2 linked regions of the Neurospora crassa OR74A genome follow. The protein of the gene in region 1 interacts with the protein of each later gene in a pairwise test. Links are inferred from orthologs where the notes say so. Each region holds a gene or a part of one and is shown in the gene's direction. Other genes may lie near its edges. The genes, in order: cot-2 and mak-1.

Region 1 (4,267 bases):
TTGTGGTGTTGGTGCTGTGTGTGGGTGGTTGTCCCTGGTTCATGCATGACAAAACCATGGTTACCGCGCACAGGCCATCCCAGATTTGATGATCCAGAACTCGGCCAACTTTTTCATCACCACGGGCAGACTTGTTTCTTTTTTCTACAAGTTGATGAGCAGCTAACTGAAGTCTTCTCTCAACTTCAGAGACACTCAACAGACTTGGATTCTTGGCCGTGATGAGAATCGATGCATTTTCATCCAGGTGACTAGAAGTGGTGAATGTTTTGCCCAGGCTGTATCAACAGGGGCAGGACCGATTTGACGGTATGTAACCGTAATTTTGTCATAAACAAGCCTGGCAAATGCGTTTGAGCAAGGGCCAAGGGAAGGGACAAAGCTTAGAAAGTCTTGGCAAGGGGCATTTGTGCGCCGTAGGAGAAATTGCGCGCGATAGACAGGTACCTGAGCGTCATGCACAAAGTGATGGGCAAGTCAGGTACCGAGGAAACGCGCTCAGCGCAGCATCATGCTGCACCTCACCGGCACCTTGAAGTCCCTGAATGATAGGAACACGCCCCGCCCCGGGCGTCGCATCGCAGTCGCAGTCGCAGTCGCAGTCCAGGCCTGTCGACCTGACGGAAGAGGGCCCGGCCGGACAAGACATGACATCGTCGTCGACAATCGCGGCAGTTTGCTCTCACGGCCCTCGCATGCTCGGCGTCTTGCGCGCAACAGTCAGCCGGGCGGACAACGCATGGCAGCCGTGTCGGTCGGAGACAGACATGTGCAATCATCAGTCAGCCGAGCAACGGTGGATCATCTGTACGCTCCAACGGTGACCGATCAGCATCCGACAAGTCCGCAGTTCTGCCCCCGTCCCCCGCTACTGTGTACTATGTAGACTACCAACCCCACCATGTGAAGACGGGACTACATACACTAGGAAAGTGGAAACCCCAGAGAGTCCAGCTCAACAATGGCCGGGACGGGCCATTATAGTCTGCCCGTGCTAGCATCAAGGAATATCTGAAGAGGAAGAGAAATCAGCCAGCTGTTTCACAATCTGGCTATCCACTCACTACAACACTAGAGAAATATCAGGACAATGCCTGGGCAACGAGACGGAATGCCGAGAGGGGATGGGGAAGCACAAATGGACAATGCAATTGGAAGGGGGAGGGGGAGAATAATGGAAAGGGCGGAAAAAAAAGGGGTGGGGTGCATGGCCAACAAATGATATATCGTCCCTGTCTGAAATTGGCCCTCCACTCTCAATGGTTTTTTTGTTTTTGCTTCGATTTGTTCCCTCTTTCGTTGCTGAGGTGTCACTTCGTCACCGTGACTTCAGTTGCACTTTTACTTCCCTTGGGTCGGTCGCCCAGACTTTTGACTTGCACACTAGTGAAAGCACCTTGACCGCCCGCCCAGCATCAGTCCACTGCCTCCCACTACATCATTGCCGCTTTTTAGTTCCAGGTTTGATTCTATCAAAGCTCGGGTGCACCGCTCGTCCTGACCGGATCTTTACTTTCCCACTTTACACTTCCACTTCGTTGTCCAACAACCCACAGACCGCATATACCACTCTCTTTTATCCTTTGCCCGTTGTTTTGTTGTTGTTTATTTGGTCGGTGTTGTTGTTGTTGTCGTCGGTGTCGTCGTGGTTCCCTTGTTCATCTGGCAACAACCTAAGAGTACCTGTAGAAAGCGGAAAGTCTTTCACAAAAAGAATCCGGGCATTCTTCTCCATCATACACCCCCCCTGCCCTGCCACTGCAGCTGCACTAAAACTTCGCTACTAAAAAAGCCTCTGCGCGCCGGGTAGCCCCGTACCAGGTACCACCTCTACTGCTGCAGCCAGCGAGATTCCGTCCGAAAAAAAAGGAGGCCGCTGCAACATCCTTACAGTAGCTTAGCCGGTTCCTTCCTGCAGCCAAAGGTACCTACCGCAAAAGCCATCCATCCAACTACCCGCCCTTACACTTTTCCACTCGGCGTTACGCCACGGCCGCCCTTTAACACCCATCCCACGAAATCACAGGTCGACGACGAACTTGGCGAGAGAAAGGCGACCGACGATAACACTCTATTCGGTCACCGATAAGCACAACCACTGCTGGAGTGCGGATTACCGGGTCCACCATCTTCGACGCGGTTTCCGGAGCCTTCGACGCTTGTTCCAATCCCGCCGAGCAACTTCGGCCGACGGCGCGTCGAACTAATCAAGGGAATACCCCCCCTTGAATCTTCGACTCTGGTCCTTTGTCCTCTCCTGTCACCAACGACGGATTGCAAGACCAGCGCAATTCCTTCTCCCGATTTCGAGCCTCTGACCGCATACATATTCTATCTGATTGCCCAAAATGGCTGGGTGAGTCGCAATCCGCTCCCTCGACACCGCTTGCGGTGAGAGTCCTTGGCTGACCGAGTTTCTTGTTATCCTCTACCAGCTTATTCAAGGACATCTGGCATGCTATGACCAGTTATGATCGACGTTAGTGCTTTCTTCCCCCCTACTTCCCCGTCCTCGGTTCGATCGCTTACATGTCATGGTTGGGAAACAGATGCTGGCATCGACTCTCCTTACCGAACTGGACGTCATGTCCCATTGAACCGGAACTCCGGTCTCGCGGGCGTTACTACCGCCTCCGACTCGCGTGCCGACATCAACTCGCCCTACCTTCAAGGAGATGGCCGTGGTTCTACCATGAGCTTCGACACGGCCTACGGTGGACGCGCCATATCTCCCATGCCGAGTCCCGCCAACGGTGGCCCCTATTCGCCCGGCCTAGTGAGCCAACGACAGTCCGTCCACCAGGACGCATTCGATGTACACAGCCCAACCGGCGAGATTCCCATGCAGAACTTCCAAAATGGCGGTCCGCCTCCCCCACCAGTCGCTAGCTCCTGGGAGAAAATTGACAGATGGGCCGAGGAAAACTACCCCGAGTTGTTCGACCAACTTGGCGAGGGCTGCACCGTCAACGATCTGAACGAACTCGAATACCAGCTTGATTGCACCCTTCCCCAAGATCTCAGGCAATCCTTGCAAATCCACGACGGCCAGGAGCGCGGTGGTCTTCCCACTGGCATTATTTTCAGCTCCATGTTGCTCGACTGCGAAGAGATGGTTCAGGAGTGGGAGAACTGGAAGACGGTGAACCAAGAGTTTATGCTGGATCCCGTGCTCGTCAAGCGACAATCTCAGGCATTTGCCGCTCAGGCCTCATCATCAAAAGATGCCCCTAACCGCAACCAAAACTGGCGACAAGAACTTCTCAACAAGCAGGATTCCGTCCCCCCGGCCGCGATTCAGAAGGCGTATGCGCACCCTGCCTGGATTCCTCTCGTTCGTGACTGGGGCGGCAACAACTTGGCTGTCGATTTGGCGCCTGGACCAAAGGGCCACTGGGGTCAAATCATCCTCTTTGGTCGCGACTACGATACAAAGTACGTCGTGGCCCGCTCGTGGGCGCACTTCCTTGCCATGGTTGCCGAGGATCTCAGCAGCGGGAGGTGGTTTGTCGATGAGGACACCAACGAGCTCAAGCTGCGTGAGTTTAAGGCGACCCGTGTTGAGCCGTCTTATTTCGAGATTCTGAGGTGGAGAATGGATCAGAAGTATGGTCGCACAGCCAACAAGCGCAAATCTATGGCGCCTTCCATGGCGTCAGCTTCCGGCATGCGCTCTCCCCCCACTCCCGGCTCTCCCTACCAAAGCCCAACAGAGCACAACGAGCCTCGTGGCCGGTCGCTACACCGTCTCACTGGCACTTCACCCATGTCGAGTCCCATCCGACCAGGTTACGGAAAGCCAAGCCCATTGGCGCGCGTTGCTGAGGAGGCACCCCCCACAACCTCTCTCACGGCTAGCAACGCCTCCCTCGAGGCCAAAGCCGCCGACAACTTGATGGAGTTGAACACCCCAAGGACAAGCGGAGAGCATAGCAAGGAGGATATCAAGGTCAATGAGGATTCTCCCGCCAAGGAAAGGACAAGCGAGGATAAGGAGAAGAAGCCTGAAACCGAGGCGAACGGAAAGGCGACGGAGTCAAAGGGCAAGCAAACGACAGTCGAAGACGCCGAGGACATGAAGGATATCGAGATTTAAAAGGGAACAAATCGAAGCGACCCAACGAACTCGTCAACTCATGGGTCACCATTGAGTAGCTGGCCCAGCAAACTGCTTCCTCACCATGCGCAGGGCACGGAGTCAGACAAGGTGTAATGTTTCTCCCTAATCTGATATCTTGACGCCTCCTCGAGCCAGTTGTCCTCTCTT
Region 2 (4,563 bases), about 780 kb from region 1:
CGTGTTGTCATTGCGAGAGTGAGTTGTCTTGGGTTCATGGACATCACTTCGATCGGGTCAACAGCGGCTTATAACCTCCTCATCACGAACGGAGGGAGCTCGGTGTCCGTATTTCGGACTTGCACAACGTCCAAAAGGGTCTACTACTCTGAGTGGTCTATCTACGATGATGCCGAGGTATTGTGAAGCTCCTCTCGGTGAAGGCGTCGACATCGCGGCCTATTCTGGCGACCAAGTCTATGCATCTAAAACTGCATCAGCCCTACGGCACTGGGGAAGTCCAGGAACGACCAGGGAGTCAGTGCGGCCACATGTTGTCGGCATCAGCCGGCCGGTTGGGTCAGGGGAAAACTGGGATCCTGTCCTTTCGGAAATCCTCCAATGCTGGTTGACGGCAGTTCACCATTAAAAAAAGACTGTTGGGAGATTATAATTCAAGGCGAGGGTTCGGAGAGGGCCCGCCGTCCGGACGGCCGCCGGATCACGGATGAAGCTCAGCCCCGGAGCTTGCCTTGCCCGGGCCCAGAGGTAAGCACTCCCAGGTCTTTCAATTCGGTGTTGTCCGCAAACCGTCACCTTGACGCCCTCAGTTAAAGCCAAGATCTGCCGAGGCATAGTGTACATGGACAATCAAACTTTATGATTTTCCACCTCGTTTAAGCAGCAAGCAACGATCCGTAAACAATGCGTTCCCCCTTCGAACTCATCGAGATGATGGTAGTGATGATTGCGAATCTTTTAGACGCCGGCCAGTGGGGAGGCGGCCGTAGTCGCGCGCCAAAACCAAAAATGGCCGCCGGAGGAGGGTTGCAAATCACAGCGGGGACGCAGCGGGTGGGGTAGAATCAGGTACCGTTCCCTTGTGATTTCCGCTGTGGAGTGACTTTGCAGTAACATTTGTTGACTGGGCAAGGGGAGACCGCCGCCCAAAACAGGCGCCCCCAAGCCAGGCGATCCCTCTGTTTGAATTCTCGGTGTGTTTTTGTTTTGTTTCAAGGCGGCAAGCATTATGGTAATGGCCTTGTTCTGTTTCGACGGGGGGGTGGTTTTTTATGGCTTTATAGTTGTTAATGCGATGCTCACGGGCCTAGATTTCATTGCATTCAAGGATGAGAGAGGCCGCCATTGTAAGCAATGGAAACTACCTAAGTCTTGGACGAGTTAAACGTTCAGCAATGAGTAGGTACTTAGTACCCCTGGGCAATGATGGATGGGAAAGTGGAAAGAAGGACAGGAAAAGAGGCAACCAGCGACAAGCCTGAAAACGGCCATCATTCGTCAGGAACCGACAAGCCGCCATTCGTCAGTCACGTTGGTTTGTTGCACTTTTGCGCCCGCTGACATTGGCGGGCTCTTGGGAATGGAAGCGGACCCCGCGTTGCCTCACAGACAGCCCCTCGCTCAGGTCCCGTTCTGGTGCCGGGATCAGCGCAGTGGTCGGTCGCATGGTCGGGGTCCCTCGGCGCCCCTCTTTCCTCTCCTCACCATTCCAGTGTCCGCTTCGAGCCCAGGGGACCTAGGTAGCCACTGCACCATTGAGGTCCACGGCCAAGCAGGTCCTTGACTTCGCTAAACACGAGCTTCTCTTCAAGCTCTCCCCTCGTCACTGCTCGTTTTCCACTTTCAATGATATCCATCGTCGGTTTAAACAACCTAAGCTGCTCGAATCCCGTCTCCATTGCTTCTCTTAAAATACGCCAACCGTAAACTAGCAATCAATAGCACCAAGTTGAAGCCAAAGCGCAAGCTCAGCTCCGGCCCAGTCAGCAAATTGCCCGAGTAGGTGGCACACATATATCCCATCACGCACTAGACTACAGTATCCCAGGGGCTTCCGACTCTTCAGTAGTGTACTTGTGCCAAGGACCACCCTACCCTCTGCAAACCTCATTTGATCATCACCACTTTTTTCCTCTTTCTTTCTTTCTCTCCATCTCTGCCTGGCTTCAATGCTACATTAGCCGGTTGTCTATTGCCTTGCTCCCGCCTTTTCAATCTACATCTTACTTTTGTCCCGTATACTCTTCCTCGACACTTCTCAAATACCCCCGTCCGAACTTCTCAAGACATTGATCGCGCTTGAGCTTACATACCCCACGACACCACCTCCAGGCCGTTGCCAAACTTGCGCCTAAAGGTCACCCGAACCACCTCTCTCTCCAACTACGAACCGTCCCCGAAACACCACACAGACACATTCGCCATGGCTGATCTCGTGGGTCGCAAGATCTTCAAGGTCTTCAATCAGGACTTTATTGTCGACGAGCGCTACACCGTCACCAAGGAGCTCGGTCAGGGAGCTTATGGCATTGTCTGGTACGTCCACCTGCTCCTGCTCCCGTTCCTGCTTAGCCGCTTGTGCTTTTGGGCCGCGGCGCATCTACATGTGTCATGCCATATTCTCATGATTCAAGCTGACCTCCCTTTCCTCCTAAACAGCGCCGCCGTAAACACCCAGACGAACGAGGGAGTCGCCATCAAAAAGGTCACCAATGTCTTCAGCAAAAAGATCCTAGCCAAGCGCGCCTTGCGCGAGATCAAGCTCCTCCAACACTTCAGGGGCCACCGTAACGTAGGTTGCTCACATACACATATTACAATCGATGCATGGTAGCTGACCGTGGCGATTTCTGGTTCTTTAGATTACCTGCCTCTACGATATGGACATTCCCCGGCCAGAGATGTTCAACGAGACCTATCTCTACGAGGGTACGTCATGGCTCATGCCTCACGAGAAGATGGGCCTACATACTAACCTGGGGGTTCTTTTGCAGAGTTGATGGAGTGCGATCTTGCTGCTATCATTAGGTCCGGTCAGCCACTTACAGACGCCCACTTCCAGTCCTTCATCTACCAGATTCTTTGCGGTCTCAAGTACATCCACTCGGCAAACGTTCTGCACCGTGATCTCAAGCCCGGTAACCTGCTGGTTAATGCCGACTGCGAGCTCAAGATCTGCGACTTTGGTCTTGCGCGTGGTTTCTCCGTCGACCCCGAGGAGAACGCAGGTTACATGACGGAGTACGTTGCCACGAGATGGTATCGTGCTCCTGAAATCATGTTGTCCTTCCAGAACTATACCAAAGCCAGTATGTCTTTTCCTCAAGCTGCCCCCTTGATATCGTTTTCAGGCTAACACTCATTCCTTAGTTGATGTATGGTCCGTTGGCTGTATCCTTGCCGAGCTTCTCGGTGGCCGCCCATTCTTCAAGGGCAGAGATTACGTCGATCAGCTGAACCAGATCCTGCACATCCTCGGCACACCGAATGAGGAGACCCTCTCCCGTATCGGCTCTCCTAGAGCTCAGGAATACGTCCGCAACCTGCCTCCCATGCCCAAGAAGTCCTTCCAGCAGCTCTTCCCCCAGGCCAACCCCGACGCCCTCGATCTCCTCGACCGCATGCTCGCCTTCGACCCTACCAGCCGTATCAGCGTTGAGGATGCTCTCAAGCACCCCTACCTTGCCATCTGGCACGATGCCAGCGACGAGCCCGACTGCCCTACCCCCTTCAACTTCGACTTTGAGGTTGTCGATGATGTCGGCGAGATGCGCAAGATGATTCTCGATGAAGTCTTCAGGTTCAGACAGCTTGTGCGCACCGTGCCCGGTGGTCAAGGACAGGGCGGTGCTCAACCCCAGGCTCCCGCTCAGGTGCCCATGCCTACTGATGTGCACAGCCAACAATGGACTGCTGAAGATCCTAGGCCACATGAGTATGGCGCGTACAACGGTGGCCTGGAGGCCGAGCTTGGTGGCATGTAAGCAATGACGGAAGGATGAAACCTTTCTATATACGATAATGAGAACGAAACGCTGGTTCGGCAAGCATCTGATGCTCAAACACATCTTGGGTTGATGCCTTGGCTGCAAAAAACAGAAAAGACGACGACATAGTATTATCGTGTTGGAAACCCCCCGAGAAGGGAACGGCTCGCCATTGAGGCGGTCTTCAATGACAGAGTGGGACAGCAGTTCTGGTCGGGCTGTCAACAGTCAGCCCTAGGAAGGCACTTGGAAAAGCAGGCGTCAGAGGCAGACCGGGAGTTCTTTTCGATGTCTGGCCAGATACCAGAGGGTGGTGAGTGGCTCACCGGAGAGACTCTTTCTGTATCTCATTCTATTCTCCTAGTCAGGAGGGAGGACTATGACTAAGTGGAAAGTTGAAGCGATCTTCAGCGAGGACTTTGGAGCGAGATGTTTACGTTGTCATTTATAGTCATAATTCTATTGGATACGCTGAATGTTGACACTGCAATAAAGCTCTTGATCGTGGTGGCGTCGTCCAGAAGAGTCCATGGTCACGCAATAAGCCTGGCATTTGGAATGGCTTTTACTGATTCTCCTAAGGTATCTATCTCGAGGTATCTAGTCCCAACCCCTTATTTTATGTGACCGTATGTATACTTTTGTGAGCCCAGATTAGTACAAAAAGCCAAAAAAGAATGTTTGAACGCCGACGCCATGCAGGGCTTGATATCAAGAAAAAACCATGATACCTAACCGAACCAAACCGAACCAACACATCCGGGATCCTTTACCCTCTCCATTTTTTTCCCCCTTC

The links.
Region 2: the proteins of cot-2 (region 1) and mak-1 interact in a two-hybrid assay, tested with the Saccharomyces cerevisiae proteins (2 studies listed by BioGRID). The link is inferred for Neurospora crassa OR74A from reciprocal best matches to the Saccharomyces cerevisiae genes SMI1 and SLT2.

What each region holds. Positions count from the first base shown.
Region 1 is NC_026505.1:5,143,951-5,148,217, reverse strand, and holds the start of cot-2 (glucan synthesis regulatory protein), read left to right. Parts: upstream 1-1,286; 5' UTR 1,287-2,348; coding exon 2,349-2,356; intron 2,357-2,435; coding exon 2,436-2,479; intron 2,480-2,549; coding exon 2,550-4,096; 3' UTR 4,097-4,267. UniProt on the Saccharomyces cerevisiae protein: Protein involved in the regulation of cell wall assembly and 1,3-beta-glucan synthesis, possibly through the transcriptional regulation of cell wall glucan and chitin synthesis.
Region 2 is NC_026505.1:5,919,638-5,924,200, forward strand, and holds the start of mak-1 (mitogen-activated protein kinase MKC1), read left to right. Parts: upstream 1-1,535; 5' UTR 1,536-2,203; coding exon 2,204-2,316; intron 2,317-2,439; coding exon 2,440-2,572; intron 2,573-2,642; coding exon 2,643-2,709; intron 2,710-2,774; coding exon 2,775-3,089; intron 3,090-3,150; coding exon 3,151-3,764; 3' UTR 3,765-4,563. UniProt on the Saccharomyces cerevisiae protein: Serine/threonine protein kinase involved in a signal transduction pathway that plays a role in yeast cell morphogenesis and cell growth.